Medicago truncatula: one gene and its partner. The protein of the gene in region 1 interacts with the protein of each later gene in a pairwise test. Links are inferred from orthologs where the notes say so. Each region holds a gene or a part of one and is shown on either strand. Other genes may lie near its edges.

Evidence for each region.
Region 2: the proteins of protein TRANSPARENT TESTA GLABRA 1 (region 1) and basic helix-loop-helix protein A interact in binary tests that used the Arabidopsis thaliana proteins (3 or more experiments, as listed by UniProt). The link is inferred for Medicago truncatula from reciprocal best matches to the Arabidopsis thaliana genes TTG1 and TT8.

The regions. Positions count from the first base shown.
Region 1 is NC_053044.1:45,898,162-45,914,240, forward strand, and holds protein TRANSPARENT TESTA GLABRA 1, read right to left. Parts: upstream 5,988-16,079; 5' UTR 5,746-5,987; coding exon 4,717-5,745; 3' UTR 4,425-4,716; downstream 1-4,424.
Region 2 is NC_053042.1:36,008,702-36,025,499, reverse strand, and holds the start of basic helix-loop-helix protein A, read left to right. Parts: upstream 1-10,719; 5' UTR 10,720-11,172; coding exon 11,173-11,282; intron 11,283-11,998; coding exon 11,999-12,253; intron 12,254-14,800; coding exon 14,801-14,897; intron 14,898-15,073; coding exon 15,074-15,088; intron 15,089-15,225; coding exon 15,226-15,282; intron 15,283-15,622; coding exon 15,623-16,148; intron 16,149-16,798. Other genes in the region: F-box protein At2g27310, read left to right, coding at 3,088-4,209. UniProt on the Arabidopsis thaliana protein: Transcription activator, when associated with MYB75/PAP1 or MYB90/PAP2. Involved in the control of flavonoid pigmentation. Plays a key role in regulating leucoanthocyanidin reductase (BANYULS) and dihydroflavonol-4-reductase (DFR).

The DNA of each region.
Region 1 (16,079 bases):
AAACCTGAAAATCAATGCTAAAGAAAGGGGAAGAAAGCAGAAGGTGGGAAGTGATATAGAAAGTATAAGGCAGGGGAAATGATAAGTGATGTGATACCTATAAGAAGTCATTGTTCAGGAGGGTAGCAAATTACAACAATCAGGAACTTGTCAATAAAATTGATCCAGACAGAAGCATGAGTTATTTTTCAAAAATAACAAAGGGTCTTGATAACCAGTGCCCTCAGGGCAATGGTTAAGGATTCTACAAATAGAAATTTTATCTTGGAATTATAAGATGTTACTTTTGATCGTAATGATTACATAACTTTTTCATAAAATTTTGCGTGTTTTGGATGCTTAACCAATGCCCTTGGGGCACTGGTTAGCATTCTCCAATAACAAAATATCAAAATCGGTAAACTTTTTTTTTTTTCATTTGAAATACAGAATTGCATGCTAAAAAGCAAATACCAGAGGGACCTCAACAAGTGGGAAATTCTCAATGAAGAGAAGAGTTTTTGGGAAGAGCTTCAAGTTAACATGCAATTGTTGTAGCAGGTTTTCATCACCCTTTATCTCTAAATCTCTCATAATGTTTAGCCTGTAGTTTTTCTTGGCGGGATGGCCTTCTTTCGACTCTAACTACTGAACTATTCTCCATTTATTTAAACTACTTTAGCTCTACAGAACTTCTCCACACATGCTCAAATCACCTAAAACAATAGTCTACCATGTTTTCTATACGGGGCTACCACAATTTCCTCTTTTCTGCAGTGCCAATTATACTTTTTAATTCTTTACCAACATTCAATCATATATGAAACTGCAGCTCTGATAACAGGGGAATAAAATTTTCTTTAAGCTTGACTGCTACTGAACTTCTTTAACTAAATATCTACATATATGGCAAGGATGACCCCAAACCACATCAAGGCTTTAGCAAAAATATAACAAATAAGTTATTTATTAGATTGCAACCACTCTGGCATATAAACCATCTTTCTCAAAAACTAATGAGGCGTCAAAGCAGATGATCACAACTACTACTGAGACATGCATACATACAAGGAGGCGGAGTGTTTAATTGGCCAACTCCATCTTCAATTGAACAAGCAAATGCAACATCAATTTCTGCTATAAGTAAAGCAGGAAGGTAAAACAGTTTGTCCCACCCAACTATCAGAGTACCATTTCACTCTGAATGAGATACATCACTAGTTTAAAACCACCAAAAGAATCCATGCCATGTCATAACTCTGAAATTGATACATGATCAAGTTAAACTAAACTACTCATCAATCACAATTCACAACAACACAACACAATGAGTAATTTGTTTTCCATAACTACAAGTAAGTTATTCCCTCACCTGAAATTCAAACTCGAACCCTCAAAAGCTGCATCTTATTAGCAAAAGCAATAGCAATCCAATCAGGCTGAGCAGCACACCACTGAAGTTGATTAATTTCACAACCCGCAGAATTCATAGTCATTGGATCAATCCCATTCGGACCAGCCACAGCCGGCAACTCCCAAATAAGAGCATGCGCATCATCCCCACCCGAACAAATATGCTTCAAACATCTTGGAGCCCAAACAATCACATTGACATCAGCGTGATGTCTCTCCAATTCCACCACAGGCGTAGTTTTAGATCTCATTCCGTTGATGTGATTTCGTGTTCTCTCAACTTCATGATCGATTTCTCAACGATTTGTTTCTTCGGAATGTCTAGATCAGATCGGCTAAGCACCACGTCATTGTAATGAGAATCTTGTCATCTACTATTGATTAATCCATTGTTCAAAAAAAAAATACTATTGATTAATCCAAATTGAAAATTTCAAGATCGTTGAGCATTTAGGTTCTGCTCAAGAGATTTATGCGGTCGGTCTTGGTGCCATTTTCACAATCTCCTTCCTCGTATGTGGTCAACAATGGTTATGTTGTTGTGCGGTAAGGTTTGGCGCAACAAATTTTGTAGAGATTCATATATTGTTGAAGGTTATGCTGTTTATTTTGAAAGTTTGATGGTCGGTTTCAACTCTTGAGGTTTTGCTTGAGTTTTAGATTGAAATTATGTTTGAAAGAAATGGTTTGCCAATAGTATAATTTATTGGTTTAGGGGTGCTGTATAATTTTGATTACTGGTTTAGACAATAATACAAGTACTCTACACTATACCAGAACCTCAGCAAAAACAGTTACATTTTCCTGAACATTACTTATCAGTAAATAGGTAAACTTTTAACCATTCTTGACGTGGAGGAAACAAAGATTAGTAGTCATTCTTTAAAAATGCAAGCATCCTTCGAAATACATTTCTATGAAGGGAATGTTATCCTTTAGTAGTACAAAGGGAGGTGGTTCAAGCAAAGTATTTAAGAACTTTCTGACCAATACCAGGATGTCTCCAGAAAAGGAACGAATGAGCAAGTAGGTAAGGCATTTATGAATGAGCGTTGCTAAATAGCCCGACAGATTCAAGCACGAAATTGCACGACATGTTCAGTCATAGGCTATATACTTTATCAATGACTTCCTTATAGCTTATGTTATGCATATATATATGCTTTTGAGTTATTTTGTATGTAGTATATATTAAAAAAAATACTGCCACCAAAGAAATACATGGATAATCCACCCATTCTAGTTATAAAACACATGCAGAAGTGATTTGGATAAAGACCACCGCATAAGAAAGTATTTTGTTGTGATTTCTCACAAGTAAAATTTAGGAAATGCAATATTTATCATTTTGGATCAAATCAAAGTTAAGAGAAAAAGCTAAATGACGACTATAGAACCATTCACTTGTCAAAAAAAACTATAGAACCATTCGTGCATATTCCACGACAAATATTGTCGTGCTTTTGATCATTTTCCTTTATGAATATGTTTATATTGCTTCTAAAATGCTAACAGAGAATAAAGGCCAACTTATACGTGTATAAACCATATATCAAATCCTAGAATTGATCCACAAAATTTTAACTGAATTCAAGCAATGAGCTTCGCAAAAATTTAACTCAAACATCAATATAGTAGACCAATTCAAAAGGGGTGGTAAAGTGTAGGTATATAGCTACTTAAAGCGCCAAGAATTGAGTATATCCTTCTGATGGAAAGTTTCATGGTTATGTGACTTATTCATGTAAATTATTCAACTCATGGACAAGTCAACTGTGAATGTTGAAAACCATAGCTAGTATAAAGACTACCAGAACATCAAACCAGAAAATCAATGTTGAAGACGGGTAGTGATATAGAAAAGGAAATATTGTTATAAATGATAAGTGATACCTAAAGAAGCAATTGTTCATGAGGGTAACAAATTACAATAATCTGGACCATGTCAATAAAATTGATCCAGACAGAAGCATAAGTTTCTTTTTAAAAATAACAAAATATCAAAACCACAAAACTTTTTTTTTTTTCATTCGAAATACAGAACAGCACGCTGAAAAGCAAATACCAAATGGACCTCAACAAGTACACAACTGTAGTAGTCTAGGAATGTCATGTTTTTATACTTCAGAACTAAGATTAATACTAAGGATGAAGGACTATGCTTCTTTGAGTAAATACAGCAACAACAACAAACAAGCTTTGAGTAAAAAGGCATGTCATGTAACCTTTATCTCTAAATCTCTCATAATGTTTAGCCAGTAGTTTTCCTTAGCAGAGTGACCTTCTTTCAACTCTAACTACTGAAATATTCTCCATCTATTTAACCATCTTTAGCTCTACAGTAATTCTCCACAGTACTAAAATCACCTAAAACAATACTTTACCATGTTTCCCATACTAGGGGCTACCACAATTTCCGCTTATTTTCAATCTTGTATTCTATAACCACTCACGCACTGTTCTCATTTCTGCAGTATCAATTATACTTTTTAAATCTTTACCAACATTCAATCATATACGAAACTCCAGCTCTAATAACAAGGGGTTAAGTTTTCTTTAAGCTTAACTGCTACTGAACTTCTTTGACTAAATATCTACATAAGTGCCAAAGATAACCCCAAACCACATCAAGGCTTTAGCAACATTTAACAAATAAGCATTCTTTAGATTGCAACCACTTGGGCATATAAACCATCTTTCTCAAAAACTAATGAGGTGTCAAAGTGCATGATCAAAACTACTACTGAGACATGCATACAAGGAGGCAGGTTGTTCAATAACACAAGAAAAAGAATAAACTTTGACATTTAACAAGGATGATCTATCTAGATGTCAGTGTTGTCAATCGCGGATTGCGGAAAACAGCATTTCGTTGAAATTCTGCTATGCTATCGCGCCGCCACAATAGCAGCTATTTGATAACTAAATAGTGGATCGCAAAACAATAGCAATTTGTTTAAATTCCGCTGTCCGCTATTTGACATTACTGCTAGATATGCAGTAACTAAACTATTCAATTGGCCAGTTCCATCTTCAATTGAACAAGCAAATGTAACCTCAATTTATGCTATAAGTAAAACATGAAACTAAAATAGTTCGCCCTACCCAACAATTACAGTAACCAACCCACTCTCACATATGAGATACAGCAATACTTTAAGACCACCAAAAGAATCCATGTCATGGCATACTTCTATAATTTAATAGATGATCAAGTTAAACTAAACTACTCATCAGTCACAACTTACAACAACAACAACAACACAATGAGTAATTGGTTTTCCAGAACTACAAGTAAATTATTCCCTCACCTGAAATTCAAACTCAAACCCTCAAAAGCTGCATTTTATTAGCAAAAGCAATAGCAATCCAATCAGGCTGAGCAGCAGACCACTGAAGCTGATTAATTTCACAACCAGCAGAATACGTAGTCATCGGATCAATCCCATTCGGACCAGCTACAGCCGGCAACTCCCAAATAAGAGCCTGTGCATCATCCCCACCGGAACAAATATGCTTTGAACTTCTTGGAGCCCAAGCAATAGCATTAACACCAGCGCGATGTCTCTCCAATTCCGCGACCGGTGTAGTTGGTGATCTAATATCCAAAATCACAACTTTATTACTATCCATCAAAATCGTGGCCATATACCTCAAATCCTTCTTGTTCCAAGCTAAACGAAGCAAAGGGGTATCAGGTTGCGGACTTTCATAGATAATTGTTGAATGCTCTTTATCCCTTAAATCAAAAATCCTAACAGACCCATCAGCAGAAACCGAAGCAAAAACCCTTGATTCCCCCCAAGCAATATCATAAACCTCTTTATCATGCGCAATTAACTGCGTTTCAACAACGCCTCTTTCAATGTCCCAGATAGTACAAGTAGTGTCAATACTTGAAGTTCCAATTCGTTTGGGCTCAATTTCATTCCAATCAAATGATGTTAAAGGAGCACAAAACTCACTGGTTTTGCTATTGTTGAAAAGAGAAAGAGCTTCAACGGAATTTTCACGAACTTCCCAGAGACGGAGATAGTCACCGGAGGTAGCAAGGAGGTCGGAGGAGGTTTTCTGGAGAGAAGAATGTGTGGCGGGATGGAACATGAGTTTGGTTGGTGGGTAAGGGTGATCGAAGGAGAGTGAAGGTTGAGGTTTGAGTGAGAGGGTATCGGGGTTGAAATTGAGAATATCGATGCGGTTTGTGTATTCTTCGATGAAGCTTCCGACGGCGATACGTTGTTGTGGGGAATTTGTGTTGGGAGAGATGGACATGGCGTAGAGTGGGTATGGGGAATCGTATGTTACGGAGTTGTTATCGGATCGGAGATGGGATTCTTGTGTTGAATTATCCATTTTTGGTGGATGGTGGAAGAAGGGGAAGGGGAAGAGAGACAGGGAAAAGTTAGGTGGGAAGTGAAAATGAGAAGATGGGGTGACTGAAGGAAGGGCACGAGCCTTAAAATCTCAACTGCCTTATTCTTCTTCACTTGACATTCTTCGTTCCTCCTACTAGCATAATATATGGTATGCGCCAAAATTGACGAGAAGGTACCTCCACGTCCCCAATTTGTGTTGTGTTAGCCACCAAGAGCATGTCCAATGCATCTACATTATGTTATGGTAGATCAACTCTTGTGTTGTGTTTAGTTTCCGAAATTATAACTACCACGATAGTTTGAATGTATCGAAATTTTAAAATAATTTTTAATTATTCATTTCGTTAGTTAAAATAGTCTCTCATAAAAGTAGAATAGGTTAAGTCAAGCTACATTCTAATAAACTCAAGACTGGCCTGTCTAAAATTTTAAGACTTAAGTCTAGTTTGCGGTTTATCATAGAGTTTTTAAAGTGAAGATTACAAACTCAATTATATCATTACTCACTTTATTGAAATATACAACCTTCTTAGCATCCAATTCAAAATCCACATTTGTTACTTGTAGAGCATGCATTCATCGGTAGAGCTGTCGAAAATGGGCCGGTCCATTGACCCATGTTTTTGGACCGGGTCGGGCCTAAAAAACTACCCCAAAAATGCACTCGGGCTTTTTTGGCCCAAGCACATTTGGGCCATACAAAAGTTGGGCTGGGTTGGGCCACCGGGATTTGGGCCGTCCCATATTTCATTTGATTTTTGTTAAAAAAACAATATATTTTTTAAAGGTTAAAATATGTTTTTGGTCCCTGCAAATATGGCAAGTTTGGGTTTGGGTTTTGGTCCCTAGTAATTTTTTTTTTAAATTCATCCGTGCAAAATTTTTTGTTTTAAAAAATAGTCCTTGTCCCCACTTTACTGATGATTTGGCACATTTTTACCTACGTGGCATTCGCTGACTGTGCATAAGTTATACATGTGGCAATTAAAAATTATATTAACATTTATAAAATAAATAGGTAAAACATAAAATAATTTTTTTATTTTTAATTAACAACATAAATACATAAAGGGGATAAAATTTTCTTCTTCATAACTACCATTCTTCTTCGTGAATCTTCTTCTTCATTGCAAATCATTTTTTGCATCACTTTCTCTTCCATCTATTAATTTGTTTTCCTTCTTTGCCTCGTATGAAATCGGAAATCTCACTCATTCCTTGTCAAAATTTCACCTCACATATTCAATCTATCTTTCATATTGTTTTCAGATGAGTGGTTTCTCCTCATTCTTAACCCAAATATGAACCCATTCATCCCCACTATTCACAGAAAGGAGAAAATGCTCTAATTTTCACAAAGAGGCTCCACTCATCTCCCACCGTCGTGAACAACAACAACAACCTTCATACTTAAATCTGGCCTTTAAACACTTATCTAACGTTCAAACTCAAATTCAAATTATCATACAAAAGAGATGACTCTGTTGGAACCTGAAGCATGAATTTGTTGCTTTCTCAAAATTTGGATATGATTGAAATGGGTTTGATTTGGTTGAGGGGTTTAAATGGGTTGGATTGAAAGGGGAGAGGGGAAATATTGCAGAGAAGAAAAAGAAATAGTGGTTTTGTTACGGAAAAATTGGGGACCGAGAGAGTGATTTTTTTTTGGAGAACAAGTTTTTTGTTGGATGATAAATTAAGTTCTTCCGTCTTTCCCTGGCCTCCCCAACACACTCTTGATACGAAAGAAACCTCCCGCCATAGAATAGAGAAGAAAGAGATCTAAAGTCTGGGTCCCCTCGATCACCCTTCCCTTGAACCTGAACTGGTCGAGAGAGATGAACCCGCACCACATTTGATAACCTTCGAACTGAAACCCCCAACTAGAGATGGAATTCCAGAACCTAAACAACTCAATGGAGAGCTCCGTGACCGGTTCAATTCAAGGGAAGGTCCACCAATAATGGAAAGGCCATTCCCCTCCCTATCTGTTTCTTCTTTTTGTTCATGTGGATCTTGATTTGAATTAAGTTTAAGTTTATTGTTGGGTTTTGTTCATATTCGATGATGAACTAAGTTCTTCCCTTTTTCCCATTGAAATCTTTCATTATTTTTGATTGGATTATGAATAATTAGATGAATATATGTGATAAGTTTTGGATGAACATTTGGGTTGAAGATGATGATATGCGTTACTGATAAATGTTTTGGATGAAGATCTTGATTAAAAAAAAATTGGGTTGATGATGAATGTTTAATGTTTTTCTTTTGATTTTGGTGGGTTTAATGGTGAATATGATGAAGGGGAAGAGAAGGAATTTTTAAAAACAATTATTTTTTATTTTATTTAATTATATTTTGTAAAAATAACATATTAAATTATTAAAATGATATATAAATAATTAAAATATGTTAAATGACAGATGTTTGACACGTGTGCATGATTACACAGTCAACGAATGTCATGTAGGCAAAAATGCGCCAAATCATCAGTAAAGTGGGACCAATGACTATTTTAAAAAACAAAAAATTTTACATGGATGAATTTCAAAGTTTTTTTTACCAGAGACCAAAAGCATATTTTAGCTTTTTTTAAAAATTATCAACTAAATTAAATTTTATTAATAAAAAATATTAAATAAATAAACTTAATAAATATGAATAAATTTAGCTTAAAGTATTAAAATTTTAAAGTTTATAAATTATCAATTTGATTTAATTGAAGGAAAAATCTATAGTTTAACTATTATTCAACGTTAATGTAAAAATTATTTACATTTTTATGTCCATCCAAATCATATTTTAGCAAAAAAATAGTGGTGTGTAACTAATACATAAAAAATACATATAAAAGAGTGATTAAATTTAAAAAATAAAACTAAAACGGGCCGGACTGACCCATGGCCCACACGGGCCGAGCTTGCCCATTTATGTAGTTGGCCCACGCGGGTCAGACCGGGCCGGGCCAGCCCATTTGACACCTCTATCCATCGGATAGCATGTGAGAGTCTCAAAGCTTCTCATCTGTTTCAATGTATGATTTGTTGATTGCATTATCTTATTTTTAGTCCTTAAATAAATGGGTCTTATGTTATCGTCAAAAAGGAAAGAAAATGTATGATTGTATTATCTTATTTTCAGTCATTAAATAAATGAATATTAATCCATATGTTCTAGCTCAACCGGTAAAAATGCTGAAATTGTTAGACCGGAGTTCGAACCCCGGTACCTCCACTTGTGTGTGAGTTTATAATAGTTTTATCATTCCGTCTAGGCTAAAATATGCTTTTGGTCCCTGCAAATATGGCGAGTTTGGGTTTTGGTCGATAGTAAAAGAAATTTTTGAAATTCATCCCTGCAAAAAATTTTGTTTTTTAAAATAGTCCTTTGACCCAATTTCTTGTTGATTTGTCTTATTTCAGCCTATGTGGCAGATGCTGACTGTGTCAACTCGCATATGTCGCATTAAAGTATTTTATAAATATTTTATAAATCATTTACTAAAATAAAATTAAAATTCATAAAAAAAAAACATTGGTTTTAGTCAATATGTTTCATCTTCTTCTTCGCGTGTTTGTTCTTCCGGTACCACCACCATCAAGCCCTTCCTCACAAAATGAAAGAACACACAGATCTACATTTTCTTCACATGAATCTTCAACCAAAAGAATCTTATCATCTTCAAACCAACACTCCATTCCAAACTCATAAACTAATCTAATTTCAACCCAAATCCAACAACTCGTTAATTCTTTATCCAACCTTAGAATACAAAAAACTCAAAGACCCATATTATTCTTCCGTCGTCATCTTCCTTCCAACCCTCAAAGTTACAAGATCCTTCTCTAACCTGTCTCTGAAACCAAGTTTTTACTCTTTTGCCACTGCTCTATTCTTAAACCCATAAGCTTTTTCTAGTATCTTATTCTTTCCGGATCTTGTTATTCTTGAATTTGGGTTGAAGATTTTTCCAAGATCTTCTCAAACCGGATCTAGAGAAAGCAGTGATGTCACTGTGTATTGTGGCAAACATGAATGGTTTCGTTTCAGATCCAATTTTATAGTGTTGAGAGGGAAAATTTGAGATATGGAAATTAGGTAATTTGAAATTAGCTGTTTAAAATTGAAGCAATTATAACCTTGTGATGCTTCAGTTTAATTGTTGTTGTGCCTGTTGGGATTGTTGTTGTGCTTGTTTGGTTTTATCTGTTTTTGGGAAGCTTCTGTTTGACTGACTGGTATGAGGAAGAAGAAGATGAAAGTAACATGAACTCTAATTTCAATTCTCCTCCCTTTATATTTTAATAAATTTAAAATATAGAAGATTAATACAATAAATAAAATAAATAAAAACATTTTCTGATTTATTAATTTATTTAATTCCTTTTAAATTCCACGTATTTGCCATGTGGCTAACTTTACACAGTCAGCATCTGTCACATAGGCAAAAATGGGACAAATCAGCAAGAAAGTGGGTCCAAGGACTATTTTAAAAAACAAAAAATTTTGCAGGGATGAATTTCAAAATTTTATTTTACCAGGGACCAAAACCCAAACTAACCGTATTTGCAGGAATCAAAAGCATATTTTAGCCTTCCGTCTATCTAAAAAAAAAATATATGAATAATATTTTATCGTCAACTAAGAAAGAAAATATAATGCAATAATACAAGCTTGCTGTAAAAGTAAATATTTTTTTACAGCTAAACTAAATTAAACAATGTTTTTATACACACAAATGATCTTTCAACATCTTCATACCTTCTACTTAAGTTATAAGTTTGCGTTGCTAAACTCAACAATCAATAAAATTAAAATTAAACACTTTATAACTAACATTTTCTATAATAAATGGCAACTGTATTTGTTTTTAGAGGTGTGAACCGTAATATTTTTATTTCATTCGTATTTTTCACGGCAAAAATCACTTTTAAAAAGACTTTTCATTTAATAAACTTTTAAAAAACTTGTATAGTCAATTTATCATTATAAAAGTCACTTTTAATGTTCGTATTTTTCTGTTCAAAAAGTTATTTCAACTTTTTTTTTTTGGTTGTATTTTTTCTGCTGTAAAAGTTATTTCAAATTTTATTTTTTTTTGAAAAACAATTGTTTTAGCTAATACTTGTGGTAAGTGGTGACCGATGTAAATATAATTTTTATAGTAAGTCAATTTTAATTAAGTGCAGTTATTATGAATTAGGATTCCATGTGGGTTCTCTAAAAAAATACGACTCAATGTGGGCCAAGTCAGATATAAGAATTGAGCCCAAAAATAGAGAATATCCTCTATCCACACCTTTAGACTACTAAGAATATATATTGCTAAATAATCCAATTTTTTTCAAAGTTATTATTATTTTTAAATATTTTCAAAGGTTTTTTTGAGGCAATTATTTTTCGAATTCTGCTCTTCTCAAAACTGATTTTGCTCGCTCGCAGCTGAAATACCAAAATTGTCTTTGCGTGAGTTAACTCACGTAGGTTTCGTGACTTAAGTTACGCATGGGTATTTTTGGAAGTTTGGTTGGGAGCGAGCAATTTTTTATGGGAGACGAGCAGAATTCTTATTTTGCAGGATAATATATCGTTTGATTATTTATTTACTTAGAGGTAGGGATGTACAAAACATGATCCACTACGTTAATCAATCCTATAAGGTTTGAGTCACGTCTGACCTAAACATCAGAATAGAAAAGTATAAGCCAAAAAAGGAGACAAGACTGAAATTGCACTGAGCTCGAGTTGACCCTTAAATTACTTCTCACTTCCCAAATACTAAGATGACATTTTCTTGTATATATAATTTCATCATCACTCATAGTCTCTCGAGTCACACTTACTTACTACACCCTATGGTCACTAATATAAGCAAAAATCCACTTTTTAGATACATTCAATTAATGATGTATGTGATCTTTATTATATGTCACATTCATCATTAATTGAATGTATTTAAAAAATATATTTTTGTTTATATTAGTGGCCGGATGGTGTATCTCTTTTCAAAAATATAAATCATCACACTTGTTGACACGAGGGAAGAAGAAAAGAAAAGCAGCATCACGAGGGAGAGTAGTTAAGATCCTATCACTTGTATCACTTACTCCTCCTATCACATTTGCATTTATTTACTCACTAGAGTGTCGTCGACAAATTGTAAATGAGAAATCTTCATCCCCTCCCTCGTAAACTTGAACCCCTTAAACATATTAAGGTTCACTACATTCTTCATCAACCCACTAAATCATTTCACCACTTGAAGAAACAAGAAAGAAGCAAGGGGGTCCCCTTGCTTCAATCCTCTTTGTATGTTAATCTCTTCCGTTGGACTTCAATTTACCAAACTCGACATACTACCACCACACACACACACGTCTTCGTCCATGCCACCCATTTTTTACGCAACCCCACCCTCCATATACTCTAAAAATCACCAATCCACCGAGTCATAAGCCTTTTCAAAAATCTACCTTAAGAATAAAACATTTTCTTTTACCTTTCTTTGAAAAATCCAGCACTTCATTAATTACCATGACACCATCCACCAAGCTATGACCTTTAGGAAAAGCCAATTGAAAATGAGATATAATAGAATTCATCACCCCAGATAATCTCAACGCATGCGCTTTTGAAAGAAGTTTTTACAAACTCCCTAAATGAGAAATAGGACGGAAATATTTCTAAGAGAACATAATTTCAACCTTGGGGATCAATGCCACAAAATAAGATAAGAGACTCCTTGAAATATCTTCATTGCCATGAAATTGATCAAACATAACTCTCACGTCACTTTCAACAAATACCAAAATTCTTGAAAAAAACAAAATTTAATCTGTCTAGAACCCGACTCTTATTCCCATCACTTAACCACTCACTCAAACTCCTCCACTGAGAACGGTTTAATAAGTCTCATATTATCGTCTATAGAAAGCATCTTGAATTGAACCTCATTCAACATCCCCAAGTTGACGGGAAATGATTTTTGAAATAATCCTATATCACCCTAGGCACCTTCGTTGGAGATCGCAACCACACATTACCCACCTTGATGCTCTAATGGAAATTTATGGATGTATGATGTTAAATTATAAGGTACAATGACCGTATTTTGAGATATATGTAGGTTAACAATTCACAACTTTTCATGCGAACAAAATGTTGCCCAGGCCGTAGGATTTTCTCTCACTCACTATGGTATGAAAATTGCTCTTCTCCCGTCACGTTTTGCTCGCTCCAACCAAACTTCAGAAAATACCACGCGTGAGTTAACTTACGCAGGTGTTAACACCACGTGACTTAAGTCACGTTGAAATACAACTTACGTGACTTAAATCACGCTGAAAATTCACACTGAACCCCCAACATGAGTTAACTCACGCTAGTTTTCTTTCACCCAAATTCCAATTTTTTTGTTCGGTGTATTGCAGCTTGTGTCTGACTCTTCTTGCATCTACTCACGGTGTTTGGGTGTTTTGCATAAAACATTATAAGGTCTGATTTCTGAATATTGTTTGATGAATTCTTGAGATTTCTACTTTTGCTTGAGTTTTAGATTCGTTCAAATTTTGTTTTTGCGTGTTCTACCTCTATTTGTGAGTTATTCAGATTTTTTGATTCAACTGAAATTCTTTCATTTGACAGTGCTCTAGTTTTATTTAGGTTTCTTTGGATTTGGAAATTCACAAAGAGAAAGTGAATTTGGCATATACGATTTTCATGTTCACATAAAGATTTTTTTTTTTCTTTCTATTGGCTTATTGGCAATTTCCAAGGATTTATCAAATTTGGATGGATTTAAGAGAATTGACATACTGGGTGCAACCATTGATCTTGTGTTTTCACTTTTGGATGATACGATATGTCTCACGGAGTAGGATACCACATGTTTGTTTTGATAAATTTGTTGTTCCATCAATGATCAATTCTATTCGGTGAAGACAATTGTTGTGGTTCTTTGCTTACTTATGGTTTATCCAAAACTGTGAAGGTTTAAAAATTGGAATATGGGTGAATGAAACCAGCATGACTTTAGAGTGATTTAAATTTCGTATTGTCTTTCAGCGTGACTTAAATCATATGGTATTAACACTTATAAGTTAACTTAGCAGATGTATTTTCGAAAGTTTGATTCGGAGCGAGCAAATCGTGAGGGAAGAAAAGCAATTTTCCTATAGTATTATCTCTTATGATTTCAAAGGGTCAGCTTGTGGCTATTTAATTGTATTGATAAATTCAGTTCGCGCATTTAAAGACGTAACAGTATGACGTCATATGTTGACGCAAAATCATTGACATAATGCAATGCGTACATTTTTTTTTTCTGAACTAGTTAGTAATCTTTTTTTTTTTTTAGCAAATAATTTATTTATTTTTAGATCTCCGGCTTTTGTTCTTGCACAAAACAATCTTTAAAATGCGACTTCTCAACTTATGTTTTTTTTTTAGAAAAAACATCAAAGATGTCACACTTAAGAATAAAAACATCAATTTTATTTATTGCAGTTTGGTGTACACCAGTACTAAAAAATCTGGTTAAAAAAAATAGTGTATAGTATAAGCTTAGTTGGCACTGGTATTCAAAAAATATGTTCATACATATAACACTTGTATTATAATTCAACATTGTTAAATCCATTTGAGTTTGTCGTTTGATGGTGTTAACTTGAAACTTTAAAGTGTATTTCTCTTCTTCAAAATTTCAGGTTCAATTGTTTTAATTTGGATGAATTGATTTAATTTATTCAAAAATTAAAACAATTCAACATAGTTATTGCCTTAACAAAAATAAATTAACATAGTAAGAATTTTGTATCGGGACCTTTTGTGTTTTTTTTTTCTTTTTTTTTTCAGAATATATTATATAAAAAAGCAAACTAAGAAAACAAGAGAAAGGAGGGGGACCATACCAAAACCGCCTTAGTAATTTACAAATCTATAGTTAGACATTCGTAATTTGTATTGGACATAACTAGCTCTAATGCAATCATGGATATTAAGCTAAATTGTTAGATGATTAGAATTTAAACCTAACTTTGCCAAGATACCTGCATTGTTTCCCTTCTCTAAACACATGGGATGCTATAAAATTCATTGACCTAGTTTTGATAATGCAATTGTTCCATCTGTTTCTTAACTTCCAAGGAACAACATAATTGTTTTTGAAAGCTTGTACCGCCAAAGTAGACTTGAGAATGAAACAACCTATAGTTAGGACCTTTTGTGATTTATGTTGCAATCAAACTTGAGAATAAAAAAAAAAGTGTCGGAGAACAAGAAACCGGTAAAAATGAGTTTTTCTAAAAAAACTAATTGAGTGTTCCTAAAAGATTGTAACATATATCTTTCAGTCACTGTTATAAACAAAATTTCATTTTTTAGATGTATTGAATAAATGATATATGCTGTATATAATATAGATCACATACATATGATCGGAGGGTGTAGTAGTGAATACGAAGAAGAAAACATGATAGATAAAAAAGCTGAATTTTGTATCTCATAACTGAGGAAGGAGGATACAAATAAAATTTATTTTGCAAAAGAATTATATAAATCGGCCGATAGGAAGTCGATTTAAAAAAGATGATATTTTAAGTCTTTGGTACATTTTAATTTTCCCAAAGTCGGTTATTTTTTAAACCGATCTAAACAGAGTTGCTTCATTTTCAAAATTGTACGGTTGTTTTTTTAAATTGGTTCTTTTTTTTTAATTAATTTAAAATCCTGTTTTAAAATGTATTTTTTTTTTTTGTACTAGTGTACAACAAACTACAATAGATTAAAGGAGATTAGTCACTTTAATCCTTGAATAGAAAATGAGTCGTCACTTTAGTCTATGAATGCAAATAAATTGCAAAATAGTCCCTAAATGTAGACTCTGTTAGTCAATTTAGTGCAAAGAGCTCAATAGAGCTAGACCTCCCAAGGTATGGGCCTAAAAACAATTTATAATTTAGCAGAACTACTAAGTACTATCCCACTAAAAAAAATCATTTATTCTCATACCACGCGTTCCATCACCATCACTCTATCAGACTTTCCTTTTCTTCTTCCCCGATTTGATTTCCTTTTCTTCTTCTGTTGTCTTGTTTTAGGCCTATTAGAATTGAGTCCTCTTACTTTTGGTGTTAGATAGATGGTTTTTTTTAGGGTGGTTTGAGGTTCCTCATGTATACGCTATCACCTTTAGGTGTATCGCATATATATGACACCTTGTATTTATCTTTTAAAAAATTTAAATTGAACATTGTTCTTTTAAAAAAAAATATGTTTTTTATTTCATTACAAACATTTTTTCACTTACAGAGT
Region 2 (16,798 bases), on another chromosome or scaffold:
AGATTGGGTTGGTAGTATTGACTTGAGATCTAAGAACGTGTTCTTCCTCAATGTTTCATGTTTAATTCTCTCAAGTATCAATTTAAGTGGGTTAATTTAATTTCTTAAAAAAAGCGAGTAACAATATAAATACAAAACAACTTTACCCTAACATTCAAATATTGTGAAGTGATGTGATAAAATAATGACTTTTTATTTTATTTTATTGTATAATCCTCTAATATTTAAGAAAAGAGAATCTTAAACTGGCATTTAGTTAGAAGGTAAGTAAATTCCAGTTGCTTCAGTGAATTTTGGTTGTATATCAATGTACAATCACCGAGCAGAATCACTTGATTCAAAACAGTGAATTTTCGTTGCACATCAAATGTACAATTATTTTATGATTAGTTGAGCTTGAGCATATCCATTAATCCTCCTAAAATAAAATAAATAAAAAATGATAGTATATCAGATTATTTGTCTCTTTCTGACAATACTGTAGATATTAATCTTGTGATAAAGAGGGGTTTGGGTCGTGTCAAAATATGATAGGTAGAGACCATAAAAAGGGTTGAGTTCACTTCAGAAACAAACTGCCTCGTGTTCATGATTCGTGTCTTTCTAAGATTAAGAACCACAACCAGACAAAAAAAGTAGAACATGTAAAACTTAACTATATAGATTGTGACCCTTAACCCAATCTTTTTATATTATTGTTCACTCTTCAAAATCATTATTCTTCTCTTCTTTCACTTCCTCTGCTTCTTATGTTCCTGTTTCAGACAGTTTTCTTGTGTTGTTCATCATTAAGCGGGTGTTATATTTAAGGTAAGTAACTACAACTCACAATTTTATTTTATTTTTTTCTGATTTTTCTTACCATTTTGACTTGCTAAATTTGACAATATAGTGTTCATTTTTTTATATATGTTTGGTTTTTCTCAATCTTGTTTAAGTTTATTGGTCAATTTGTGAATTGTGATGTTGTTGTAAAAAAATTATTCTGCTGCTGGTATGTATAAAGGGTTTTGAGTTATTTGAATTTATCAACCGACACTAGTACTTATGAAATTGTTTGGAAGATGTTATGTCATATAGGTAAGCTGTTTTCAGCTTATTTTCATAAAATCTCCAACATAACTTATGAAAACAGTTTATAGGTTATTATAGGTTATACGAAAATAATTTGGCATTTTTTTTAAACGGGGAAGAAGAAATTATTACTAGTAACGATGATAGTAAACTATTTTATTTTAACTCGGCTCAACTGAGATTTGGCATGTGTCTCTTGAGATTACAAAGAAAGTCAAACTCTTACAACCGAGTTGACACCTAATTTGAGAAGATGTTATGTATAAAGTGTTCATTTTCCAAGTAACTCTCACAATTTTGGCATATAGGTAAGCTGTTTTCCGCTTATTTTTAGAAACTCTTATATCCTATTTATATGATAAACACATATGCTATACTTGTTTAATTAAGTTGTTTATCCGAACACATTCTTAATTAAGCTGATAGCTTTTTTTTTGTATGTACAAGTTGATGAAATTAAAAATTTCTGGGCAAAAACCAGTGCTGATTTTTCTTGTGCTGAAATTGGAGGTAACTATTAGTATTTAATGTTATACAATACATAGGATGTTTTGAATAGTTTTTCACCTAATTTCATTTTTGACTAGTTTTCAAACAAAACCAAAAATTCAATTTCAATTTCAATGGTGTTGACTTTTCACTTTAGACATGGTCCTAGGCCTACTCCTTGGGGCTTCTTGATTGAATATGCACAAGATGTAAGAGGGTATTTTTTTCTTCTTCTGCCTTCACAAGATGTATGAGGTTGAGTCCAATACGTGGGTTCTTCTTTGAAATCTTAGTATCTGATACCTTGACTAGAATCTGCCATCAATTAAATGTTGTAAATGCGTATATGTGAATTCATAGATGATCGTTACAATGTTTACTTTTAGAAAACATTTTCAGTTTTCATTTTCTAAATAACTTAACAAGCCCTAAGCTTCTACATCTATTTAGGATATCTAAATTCATTTACGATCCTTGTGAAAGTTTCCTCTTCTCATCGATAATGCTACATATGTTTTGTTTGTTATCCTGATGATGAGTTTGTGTGGACATGTTTCTAAGTAGCTTACTTTGATATTTGGGTGCCGAATTAGTTAGTTGTTATTGTCAAATCTCACTTACTCTCAGCAATATAAAAGTGAACTGAGTATTTGGTGCTAGGAAGGTTTATCAAGGAATATAGTACTTTTGGTCCTATGTTTTTATTAGTTAAATTTTAAAAAATAATTCAACACTGACATTTTGTCCTCACTGTATTACTTCGACTACTTCTTAGATGCACAAGAACAGTTTCAAAATTCTCTCAGGAGTCACAGGATTTTACTAGTCAGTTATAGTTACCTAGATAGCAAGTTCCCGACGTATTCTTTTGTAACTGCAGACTTGCTGTATCTATAACTACTCATTTACCTTCACCTGGACTGCGATATTGGAGCGTCTACATGATAGTATATTATTTGGCATTGACATTATCAATATTGAGTTCTTTCTTTTTTACTCTTTCATGTCCAATCATGTATCAGTATTACTGATCCATTTACTAATCTTAGCATTAAGCTCACATTTATTTTGAATTCAACTTATTAGGAAAGTTAACTGAGTAATAGGAAAGCTCACATGCATTACTCCTTTCGGAGAAACTATTAGGTAAGATTTGAAAATTAATGCGGTGTATGATAGAACATTATGGCGTAATTTGATCAATGTAGCCGAACCCACTTAGTTGGAAAAGGCTTGGTTGTTGTTGTTGTAACCTTTTAGTTTGCAACTGATCTGTTCAGATTACTATGCAAAGTTTTGGTGGTTCTGATAAACTAACATGCTCCTGTGTGTCCTCGAGGGATTTGTTCTGGTGCACTAGTCGTAACATAATTGTGAATTCCATGTTAGCAAAACGTTTTATGCCCCATTATTGTTTAATGTTTGAAAATCACTCATTTAATTTGTTTTCTTGTATTCTAAAGAATGCATGTTCTAATTTCTTCTTTTTTAATTTGTTATTTTTTGACAGCCAGGATTGTTACTATGTCAATCGCACCGATTGATAGCATGACCTCATTGAATAGTGATCTCTTCTATGACATATTAAGACGGCTTGATGGCCCTGCGTTGGCTAGTTTAGCTTGCACATGTGCAGCATTTTGTTCCATCTCAAAAGAAGAGAGTCTATGGGAAAACGTGTGTGCATCTGTGTGGCCTTCAACCAAAAGGGAGGATGTTAAAAGTTTAATATCCTCTATTGGTGGTTTCAGAAAATTCTATGCCGATTGTTTTCCTCTTATCGTTAACAAGGAAGTCGGAGAGTATCAGTGGAACAACCATCTTGAGTATCCTGATGATTGGACTGAAGCAGAATACTACGGAGATACAAATGAATTTGAAAGCATCACCCCATCAGATTTTGTTTCCATCGTAGACATTAGGTTTAAGGATAAACCAATCTGCTCCAAAGTTCTATCTGGAATTCCAAACGCAAACGATAACGGTGGTTGGTTCTACAACTGTCCTTTTCGTATCGATCTTCTCACTTACGCTGATAGAGATGATAACAATGCGGGGGAGGTGACCCTTTCTGTTTCCAACGGTCTTCCACCGATTACATCAATGGAAAGGGAAAGAAAAGACGGGAAACTATGGCACGAGCTTCGTGATGGTCTGCTTCTTAGTTGGATATTAGTAAACAAGAAAATAAAGCAAGCGGCTAATCTTGCTAGCTGGAGTCCTCTTGACGGTCAAAGACATTGGCCGACGGATAAAGACTTTGTCATCCGATTTGGATCGGTTCTACCGGCCAAAGACATTCTTCCTTCTCAAGTAGTGCAGTGTATCCTTGCCATGAAGTTTAGAGTGGTTCACATTGAAGAAGAGGGGTTTGAAACTACTTTAAAATTAACAGAACTTAGCATGCAGTTGGAAGACATGGAAGGTGCTCATGTTAATGGAAAAAACAGTTTGCATATTCTTAAAGAAGCACTTAGCTGCAGAAGGAGCAAGAATTATAGTGAAGTTATTGAATCTTGTCATATGTACTCAAAAGTGCAAAATGAGTTAAAAGAGGAGAAGATGAGAAGTGAAAGTAGGTTGGATACACTTTGTATTTTAAGTGGCATTGCTGCTTTTATGACATTCTGGTACTATGTTTTGTGAAATAACTAGGATTTTGAGGACTCCTTTTTGTAAGATAAAATTCCTAATAAAGTAACTAGTTGATGAAAGTTTCACTGGTTTGAAATTTGAAATTCTCTTGGTATGAAACTTTTGATAATTGACTATCAGCAGCTAGTATTACAAATATGCTTGACTGTTTTCTCCATCAGTTAAAGAATTTCAAAGATCATGCAGGGATTAATGTGCTTCATGCTGTCTCCAGTCCAAACAATTTGTGACCCAATTGCTTCAAACAATTTGGACTAGGCAATTTGACTCTAGTGCTGGTTTTACCTTTTTTTTTTTACTGGTTTTTTAAAAAACTACTCTCTTTCGGATTTGTCAATTTGGACGAGGAAGAAACACCATTTATCTCGTGTCCTGATGAATAAATCATGAAATGGATACATAAACTCCCATTTGACTTGATAATTCTAGTTCCATGGGCTAACCATAAAGACCATGGGCTAATGAATAAGTGTAAAACATGATTAGAGTTGTAAAGACTTCACCATAGTTTTATAAGGATGAGTTAAGCTAAATTTAGAAAGAAAGAAAAAAACACAAAGTTTAAGCCAATTCCAAATATAAAAGTTTCATACTCGGTTGTTTCTTTGTTTCTAGATACACTACAACACAACAAATTAAAGTTGCATCTTCCTTGGATAAATCTTGTAATGCTTTGAAGATAATATTCTTGCTCTCCATATCTTATTGTATTAAAATAGAAATAGAAGAAAAGAAAAGCAACATACTCCAAACATTTAAGCTACTTGGATATTTAAAAAATAAATGAAGTATATCTTCATTGTCCACAGTACGTAGTGTACAATTAATAGGAGATGTGACTCCTCTATCTCTTAGACGCACACGAGTTGGTAAGCAATTCCTATAGATTTATCACAAAGTTTTTTTTTTTACCTTTGGGGGATTCTTGATCTTCCAAATTAGATTCCAAGAGCCTTGTACTTTAAAGTGTGATTCTTACACACAGAAATGTTATGCGCTACGAACAAAGTATTCACCATGATTTTCTTTTTTTCAGATGAGTCGATCTGTCATCACTGATGGATAGAGTGGTGTCTTCACTATATGTTCAACTACCTGCCGATAAAAAATTGGGTGCATGGAAGACAGATTCCATTCCTTGCGATCATTAAGCATGCAATCTAAGACCACTAGATCAGCTAGAGAAAAATATCCCCATCAACCTCTGGAATAAGTGTAACATCATTTGCAATATATTTGTTATACTAAATCGAGATATCCTCACCATCACCTATCTTCCATCTGCTTTCAGCTTTGAGAATAAATTTAGAGTTACATATGCTTCGTCATATAAAGCTAGGCTTATGTCCCAAAGTTAATTAAAAAATTACATCTAGGATACTTTTTTTTCAAGGATTAAAAGTTTTTTTTTTTCACGAATTTTCTTAACCAAGCATGTATATATATTATATATGATGTAAAAAGTGGCACAATTACGTGATTCAATTAAAATACATGTGAAAGCAAGTTTTGCATTATCATTGCGTGCAAGTTATAATTTCTTCGGCCCCTCATCGAATAGCTTTCTGGATATATATGTTCCTGTTTGAATGGTGGAGGTTGGTTCAATGGAGCTATGAGAGATTCACAATGGAAAGCATCAATTGACGCAATTAATTGTATGATGTTGTCATCTTTTGTTTACTTTCTCGTACTATCTACTTACCAAGGCTCTCAAAGAATATGGTGAATGGACCAACAGAGAACATGCAATGCAATCAAATGCAGAAGAAATGGATGTGGGGGTAAGATTTGGATTTCTTGCCTGTGGTCAGCAGTCAAGCAATCCGGCAAGTCAGATTAATATCGAATGGTGTTGATAGCAAGGTCCTTTTACATTGCTATTGATTGAGCCATTTCTCATCCTGTCATGAAGAATTAATTGGCAAGTTTGAAATTCGCTGCAAAAGGCAAATTTAGTGGGCTAACAAACCTAGTAGTTTTTTTTTTAGGGAAAATAAACTTATATCATTTCATTAAAAATTAAATCAGAAATACATGTTGGACTTTCATCAAAGATGTGGAAGCTAGGACCTAATGTGGCTGCCTTAGCTAATTCATGAGCAACCTCATTTGCTTGCCTCCTAGTAAACTCGACATGAGAGTTTGTTAAAAAGATATTACAAAACTGGATAGTATTCTCCATAATGGACCCAAATTCGGTGTTATCTCCTCTTGCCTTGTTGAAATAATCAGCTACTGTTTTCGAATCTACCTCAAAATCAACATTTGTGAGCTGAAGTTCATTGATCCACCGAGTTGCATGATAAAGTCCTAAAGCTTCTCCAATGTTAACTGGACACAGTGGTGAAAACCACATGGTTTTTGACGGGACGTGGTTTCCTTCCGAATCGCGAATGCACATACCAATACCTACTTTATTGCTGGATGTAGAAAAAGAGGCATCAACATTGCATTTGAGTCTTCCACTCCTTGGCTTCCTCCATCGGATGTTACCATACCTGTTGTTCGTATTCTGACTATCATGAGTTTGAGGTCTTGAGAACAAACCTAATAGTTAAGGAGCTATAGAATGAAGTAGTATGGACCAGTTCATTAATTAACATGAGTTTTAAAATGAGGGAGAAATAGAATATGTGACCTTCCACCCTACAACTCATGCATCATATATATAGACACACTAACAACATACATACATCAAGATGGGGCTTCTTCTATCTAATCCATGTGCCTAAATGGTTCTACAAATATGCATACATCATTCATATTTTTAAGAGTTTATTTGAGGTGTGTTATTGGCGTAAAATTATATTTTTAGAAGAGTAGATTAGATGGAGGAGAGTCAAATCAAAAATATGTAGAGAAAGATTTAGAAAAACTATGGAGGAGAAAAGGAAGAAAAATAAAAGAAAAATATAGGCGTCGTAAGTCGTAACAGTGGGGGTGCAGTGCAGGAGAGAAATTGGAGGCATTGTGATCGCGGGAGGCTTAGAAAGGTCCACCTCTTTCTTGAAATTTACTACTGTTTACACTTGCCAGAAAGTTAAAACACACATGAAAAAGATCATAATTTGTCGAATAGGTATTCCTCCTCAGTTAGCTCCCGTCGATTTTTGAATTTTTCAGCAGTTAATTGCCGACACACGGTTATATCAGCGGATTACAACAACCTAGTCCCCTACTCACTATTTCATCAACTTGCTGACAATTTTCGCAAAATGTCTGACATGCACGTATCAGCATTAAGTGCCGAAGTATGGAGGCATCGACAGATAACTGCCGATGGAGTTTTGGTGGTTAACTACCGATGCGATGGTTCATAAATTGCATGCTACTGCCTATTTTTTTTTTTTGTTTATTTTAATCCTTTATGCAACTAATGTTTTTGCATTAGTTAGTTGTTTATTCATCGTGATGTGTTGTATATTTATAGTTATGGTTGAGTACACAGATGATGATGCGGTTGAGACAAAACCTATTTTTGTCGATAATTTCGGAGATGTCAAACCGCCTAAGGTTGAAGTCAAACCAAATATTGATGAAGCTTCAGTCCATGTTGAAGCTTCATTATATGTTGATTCCGGTGTCGTCCCACTTGATGCCAACTAAGTTGACACAACTAATTTTTTTTCCCGAAGAAGTTAAATGGAAAGATAGGGATGAGTTGCTTAATTGGGTACGTTGTCAAGCAAATACGGCAAGATTTACAATTGTTATATGTAGATCCAAATTGATCAATCCAAAGTTGCAATTAGTGTGTGAAAGGAGTGGCGATGACAAAGTGCCGGAAAAAAAGATTGAAGCACGAGGCAACAAGTTTAAGAAAATGTGGGTGAATGTTCATGGTTCGTGGATATCTTAGAAGGTAAACAAATGATTGGAGATTGAATATTCTTAAGAGTTCACAATCATGAGATGGAGCCAAGTTTAGAAGGACACATGATTGCTGGTAGATTAAAGGAGAATGACAAAAAGCTTGTATGTGACTTGACCAAGAGTTTGGTGCTTTGAAAAAATAGTTGTTAAATTTGAAGAGCAAAAGACAAGATTGCAAGACAAATATCAAGCAAGTATGCAATTAACATCAACAAATATGGAAGTCGAACAGAGGTGACAAGACGATGATGCATTATATAATCTCAAAGTTGGAGGAGCACAACTATGTTTATTTCACCAGAACACAAAGTGAAAGTACTACTATTGAAGACATATTTTAAGCTCATCCAACATCCATTAAGTTGTTTAACAATTTTGGTTATGGACTCCACCTACAAAACCAACATGTACATGATGCCAATGTTTGAGATAGTTGGGGTCACCTTGACTGATTTGACATATTCAGTTGATTTTGGATTTTTGACACATGAGAAAGATGACAACTTTGTTTGGGTTTTACAAATGATGCTTAAACTTCTTAACTCCAAGAGTAAATATGACTGACATGGATACAACTTTGATGAATGTGATTGCAACTGTTCTCCCAGAAAGTAGTTATTTTCATGTTGGAAAAAATGTTAGAGTCATGTGCATCACTGACTGTAGATATGCTTTGGGAAAAAAGGATTTGAAAGAGGTGAAACACACTGATGTAGTGATGTAATGAAGAAGATATTGAGAGCATGAGATGTTTATTGTTGAATCACCCACACAAGAATTATATGCAATTGCATTAGTGGAGTTCAAAAATGTTTGTAAAGATTTTCCAAAGTTTCTTACCTATGTCGAGAGCCCCATTTTGGATGTTGTTAAGGACGAAATAGTGAGGGCATGGACATATCATGTCTTGCATCTTGGATACAGAACCACCAACAGAGTTGAAGGGGCTCATGCTATAATAAAGAAATATTCGAGCAATAATGTGGGTGATTTGGGTACTTGCTGAGAGAAAATACATGATATGTTTGTGATCTAGTTAGATGCGATACAAAGACGTCATTTTGTACTTTGGGTTGGGGGTTATGTGTCTAGATATGCTTTGGGTAACATTGTTTTGGAAGAACAGCGTTGCAAGGAAACATTATGTATGGACAATGTTGCATCGTATGGGCTACCATGTGCATTCTTCATTGCTGTGAAAATTCGTGACAACAAGCCTATTTTATTGGATGAGATACACCGTCATTGGCATAGGTTATGTATGGCTGAAGAAAATAATGAAGATGGTTTTTCTGTCGATGAGGAGTGGAATAGTGTTCAAGAACGTCTCAAGAAAGTCCCTTATCAAATGAAGCTAGAAATCAAAGAGGTTTTGCGGTAGTTGGTATTTCCAGACAACACAGTGTTGTCTCCACCATCAAGAAAAGTATCAACCAAGAGAGCCAAGAAAAAAGTGAAAATTTAAGGTCTAGAGCAAATGTGGCATCGACTATTCGAAACCTTTCTTCGTGGGAGCGTGTTGATTCTCAATATCTAGATAGTCAACCGTCACCAACTACGTCATCATATCCTAAAAGGAAAGGTGCTCGTATTGGTAAAACATCATGTTCCCCTTTCCACCACCTACTCGGTTTCCAAAGTCTACTCCGGTTCCAAAACCTATTCTGATTCCAATGCCTAATAATGTTTTGAGCCCTATTGATTATATGTCAAAATTCATGGTTCCATTTATTGAAAAATATGGTGGATGTTAAAGGTGATGAGAGTTGTGGATTCAGTGCTAGAGCCGAGTTCTTGGGATTGACCGAAAAAAGTCATATCATGATTCGTAAACATCTTATTCAAGATGTGAATTATCGTAGATATGATTATGAAGAATGGAATATAAAAAAAATCTAGGGGATTGAGATGTCTTCTAAATTAACAACTTCATGGTAATAGTAATTAATTACTTTTTATCATTACTATAACCTGGGACTTTTATAAGTTAAAGGAGAGGTCCAATCAAATCTTAATCGTTTAAAATAAATGTTTAATTAAAAAACATGAAAGATAAATCATTTAAGGGTGATTTAAGAAAAAATATACCACTTGAGAGTATTGTAGATCTTAACATGTGAAAATCTGATCGAAGGTAATCCATTATCCTTACCTTTATTTATTATATTATATTTAAATCCTCCTAATTATTCCATTAACTTTTTATTAATAAAAAAAATTAGTGAAAAAAAAAACGATCAAATGAGATATGAGAGGCATGAAGTATCGATTACTTCGAAGGAAAATGTTTGGTATACACCTCATATAAATGTATACACCTTAAAAGAAAGAGAAAAGAAGAAAGATGTGATAAATGTAATATGTTGATGATGTTAAACGAGTGTATGAAATTCAAAGGTCTTTATTTATCATCCTTGTACTCTTCATTTATCATTGTTGTACTCATAATAATCTCTAGTTGTGTTTTATTACTGTTTGTGCTACACTTTTTTTTATATATTATCTCGTACAATCAAAAACCAAGCTAGCTGGCGCCCTCAAAATGACTAACACAACTAACTAACAAACCAAACTATGATATATACAATATCAGTATATATATATATGTAGCACCCAAAAACTGGCTGGTAGACCAACCAGTCAAAAAATACTCCCTCCTTTGCTACATCACTCTTCACTTCATCCTTCAAATTAAACCATTTCTCTTTTCTTAACCAATAAACCTTCTTCTATATATGATCTTATACAAACACATATAGTAGTATTTATTGAATCTCTCCCGTATCCACCTCAAAGTCATAACCCTTTTAAAGTTAAACCTCTTTCTTAGTCTCACCTACAAGCCATACACACATACCTGCAAGTCTTCTATTCTATATACTTTCTTCATTGAAAGTTCAGCTTACCATCTTTTCTCTCTTGATTTTTCGTTGTCTATTTACTTGTCATGAAACAACAGAAACCAATTTTACCTGTTTCAGACTTTTTTCCTACTTTTGGAAAGGTGTTTTAGATATGATTAAATATTGCAGAGAAATGAAAGAAAAAACTGTTTGGTAATGACTGAATGAATAAAGAATGGCTGCTCCATCTCCATTAGGCAGTAAGCTTCAAAACATGTTGCAGGCTGCGGTGCAATCTGTTCAGTGGACTTATAGCCTCTTCTGGCAACTTTGCCCACAACAACTGTACGTCATCATTTTCTTTTCCTCTTCCTCACTCACTATATATTCTTCTTCTAATGCTTCCAACTTTTTACTTTGTCTTATAAAAATACACACATACTTTGTCTTCTTCTAACCTTTGATAATATTATGTCAAAATTTAGGTAATTATTGAGGTCGTGATGTTGCATAGACATGTTAAACCTTTATATGCCTTTTGCAATTTTTGATGTTTCAATTTTTGGCACAAACCCAATAATTAAGAGTGTGTATATATAAAAAAAAAAAAATTATGTATGTCATCGTTTTAATTTCAATTTTTAGTTACGCTGCAAACTTTTATATTGCAAAAAAAACATAAAAATGCAGCTGATGCGGTTGAAATTGCAACTTTGATGCCGTTGAGGTGACTTGTATTGTGACTGCAATTTAAAATCATCGATCATGTATATCGCCGCTGGTTATTTTTCTAGTATATTAGTTGTATTCTCCAAAAAAATAAAAACAGTTCGATTCAACTTCTCTGGGTTTATGTATATTTTATTAATCGAAAAAAAAGTAAAATTTTATTATTAATCATTTTACAGTCATTCTTAAAGACATTAGACCTCCTTCTATTAAAGTTACAAGGTGAAACTCTTACTGAACTCACACTTCTCGAACATATTCACTTTGACTAGTAATAGCTTATGTGATAAAGAATTTTATAATTTTCTCTAACACAATGATTTGATATACAGGATTCTAGTATGGGGTGATGGATATTACAATGGATCAATTAAGACTCGAAAGACAGTGCAACCAATGGAGGTTAGTGCTGAGGAAGCATCTCTACAAAGAAGCCAGCAACTAAGAGAACTCTATGAATCATTGTCTGCCGGAGAGACAAATCCACCAACTCGTCGTCCATGTGCTTCCTTGTCACCTGAGGACCTAACAGAATCTGAATGGTTCTATTTGATGTGTGTCTCTTTCTCTTTTCCTCCTGGTGTAGGGTAAGTAAAGTAACTCACCTTCTTCCATTATTTCTTATCTAGCTAGCTCTCTTTTATGATATATCAATTTCATTCAGAAAACTAACCTATACTAGCTTTCTCTTTACATTAATTAATAATCAGTACTTCCACATTCTTTTTAGAGTTTAAACCAATCATCTGTCTGTGTGATTTTAAAATTATTTATGATTAAAGTCAAACATTTTTAATGATTTAACATTATAAGTGATTGAGTGTGTAAAAACTATTATACTAATTGATTTTCTCACTAATTTCATATTCAACCTCATATTATGAGTTTAATTTTGTTACATTTTGAGTGGAAAAAATGTTTGCACAATCGACCAATCAAAAGTCATATAATATATATGAGTTTTAACTAGATAATTTAAATAACAAATTCAAATGTCCTAGAGATAAGTAAAGTTAATTTTTGAGTAAAGTAGAGTAATATATATAGCTCAAGTTTGCCAGCATAATTCTTGAAGCATAATAATATTGAAATAACTTTGGTAGGATCAAGTTTTGCTTTAATGCATATCTTGATCATTTAATTAGTTATACTATTATTATACTTATAGACACTAAATATATATATGTACTCTAGTTAGGAGAATAGAGAAATTATGGTTTATCTCCATGAGAGAGGAAAGCCTGTTGTTAAATGCAAAAAAAAAAAAAAAAAAATCATGCAAGCTGCAAAAATTGAATAAACATATATACTAGCTAGTACGAATTATGCTAAGTTAGGTTTTGAAATATCTTTCCTTTAACACAAAAAAATAAATTTTGTGATAAAAGAGGTATTGCTAAAAGTTATCATATGAAGTAGCAGTATACATATTATCAATGCAGTTTTTCCCCCGGTTAGATATGCATTTTGGTGAGGCATGCAGACTGTTGCAGAGGCCCCCGCGAGTGTTGCTTAAATGCTATATCGATCATCACCTACGAATTTATGAACCGTCAGCAACATTTTAGGAATATATATCCACAAATATGAACATCTATTATATCATATACATTTTTACATAGACAAAATAGCCTACAATGTGCATATTGTTTTTGTGTTGAAAAATTGAGGAGACGGTAATATAAAAAATTAACAATTTTCTATGATTAGTCAAATCTATGCATCAAATTATCGATCAAATTAGTTCTTAATTTTTACAAATTAGCAATTAGTTTGTGGATGCAATATGTGAATATGACAAGATTGATATTCAGAGGATTCTATCGAATAAGAGTTTGCTTAGTTGAGCATTATATGCTTGAAGAGGACGGCTGCTATAGAGGGAGTTGCTCATTTCGAAAAATCAGACAAATTTGAATGCTTTTTCAGAATTCAAATTAACTTAGCTGCAAAAAAATCTCAACACTACTTAATTACTAGTTACTACCATTCTATTTTTGGAAGTTTTCACTATCACACTTCACTCTCTCTGTCTTTATCCAATTTCAAACTTTTCACATATCATTTGCATTTTGATGACAGTACGTGTTTTTATTTTTATTTTTTTTAGCTTCACATAGGAACATAACATCAATTGGTCACGGTATATGAAGATGTGTGTGTATTCTTACCAAATATTGCAATGAGTCTGATTAGTTCTCGATTATGGAATAAGAGGTAGCTTTAGATAGGCCATAAATAATGTAGATTAGTCTATATCTATAAAAATAATATATACATACACAAAGCTGGCTATAAGTATATAAGAATCCTTCTATTTGTTATGTAATATAGGTACTTACATATACTACGTTAGATTTGATGACAAAGAAAAAGCATAATAGAGTTGAGAGAAGTAGGATTCGATTAGAATGGACTAACAATAATGCACTAATAATTTGATGTCATTGTAATCTATAGGAAACAGCCAATTAATTGTTGGTTCATTTTAGGGGCTATGAAGTTATTACTACTTTGGGCCATTTTAACTTTCGTTTTTGTAGGAAAATTTGTTTATATGATTTATCGTTTTTAAAGTTCAATTCACTCTTAATGAATGGTTTAAAAAAAAAATTGTTTTTAAGGAAAATGATTTTAAATGTTGTTCTATTCTAATTCATTGATTTGAATCTTTTTTTGTTTAAGAGTGGTGCTTAGTTATAAGGTAGAATAATAGAATAATTAATTATACCTACATAGTATTTAGTTATTTATGGTACGGAGTGGGTATTTTTTGTTTTATATTCTACTCTAATAGGATTCATTATTCTCTCAAGTAGGATAAAATAAGTTGGTAGTATTAAATACAGGGCCTTATACTATATGACAACCTAAACAAATTTAGGTACTATATTATTATTATTGATGTACCACCGGCAAAATACTAACATCCATGGATTCAAGTACACTTTAATCTTTTGATGAGTCATTTTTCAAACTGTTGTGTCATTAATTGTGTGATAGGTGATACAATATTTAAGACATACTATTTTTTTTGTTGATGAAATACTATGAAGATATTATTAATACAAGTGTGTTGATTATGATTTTTTTTTTCTGTGTTTTGACACACATTATATTGCACCATATATAAGGTTGCCTGGAAGGGCATACACAAAGAGACAGCATATATGGCTCACGGGTGCAAATGAAGTGGATAGCAAAATATTTTCAAGAGCTATTCTAGCTAAGGTGATCACCAATTAGTACATTAGATTATTGATTTTGACAATTTTTCATTTATAAAGAAATTTTTTAAAAGTTGCTTTCATATTATAAATTTATTGAACATCATGAAGCTTATAATTTACTAACTAGCTTTTCTTTCCTCTTGTTTCTCAATCATTGGCAAAATTTCCACTGGCTAGAGTGCTAATATACAGGTAACAACTCCTCCATCCAACTTTAATTTGTAATTTTGTACTCCATTTAATTATATATAATAGGAGGAAGTAAAAAAAAAACCAAAGTAATACTTTGTTTTATCTAATGGTTAATTTGTGTAATGTATAATCTACAGACTGTGGTATGTATTCCTGTATTGGATGGCGTCGTTGAGTTTGGCACAACGGATAAGGTAACATATTTCATTTGTCTCATATTAGGTTTAGATTGTCTAATGGTATGCATATTCAAGAAATTTATTGAGTATTATACCATTTCTTATGTAAAATGATGTGCATTACCGCAATGAAAATAATGTTCGTGTAATAATTTGGTGGGTTGGAATACAATAAATAAGACTATATTAGTTTTAAAAAATACAATTAATGTTTTACTAATATTCTAAAAATGATAAATAATATAAGACAAATAAATATCTTGAAAATGACACTAGGATGAATAGAGAGTTGAACTTGAATATAGTGTAGCATCTCATCTCATTTACCTTATACTTATGTTTGTTAATTTCTTAGGTTCAAGAAGACCTTAATTTCATCAAACATGTGAAGAGCTTCTTCTTAGATGGTCACTCTTTGCCGCCAAAGCCAGCACTCTCAGAACACTCAACCTCTAACCCAACTTCCTCAACCGATCACATTCCTACCATCATGTACACCATGGCAGACCCACCCTCTACAAATCCCAATCAAGACGACATGGATGAAGACGAGGAAGAAGAAGAAGAAGAAGATGAAGAAGACGACGAAGTTGAATCCGAGTCTGAAGACGAAACAGGAGGTCGTATCCGACGTGCAACCTCAATGACGGCTATTGTAGAGCCAAGTGAGTTGATGCAAATTGAAATGCCCGATGATATTCGGATCGGGTCGCCAAACGACGGGTCAAATCATTTAGATTCAGATTTTCATTTATTAGTTGTGAGTAATCAAGGAAACCCGTTAGGACACGTGGACTCGTACAAAACCGATTTAACACAAAGGTGGGGCCCAATTGAAGAACCGGTGGGTAATTTGCTACAAGTTCAACTACCATCCTCAGGTAAATTAATAGTCATTAGTAATTGTTAGAACAAACACACATGACACTGCATTATATAACAACTTGCATTTGAATCTACTCACCAAGCATACAACGTTAATCTTTAAAATAATTGATAGCGAAATGACTTGTTGAAATTTCGAACCCAAAATCTAGAAATTAATTAAGCACATATTGATGGAGGAGAATTGGACCACATATAATAAGGTTAGGCACAGTTTGGGGGGCTGGCTGGTCATTAGATTCAAACACTATTCTGTTTTCTCTATAGATCCATATATATACATGTGGTCCATCCTAATTAATTCCATTGTCTACCCCATTTTTGCGGGATCCACTTCTATGCAAAATCGGACTCAATTTAATGCTCAGCCACCAAAGTCCAAAAATATTCACACCCCACACGGTAAATTATAGACGTGACCATGCTCCCCCATGCAATATATTATCAACATATTTTTTGACAAAATATATTATCAATATGTATGTAAAAAGGTTTCTATTCGTTTAATAAAGAAAAAATATAAAATCATTTATTTACAAACCATGTAATAAAACTCATTTGCTTTAATTAAGAGAGAAAATACAAACTTTTGACTAACTCTATATAAGGGGGGTCGGTAGCTCAACTTTGTTTGTTTGAGCTAATG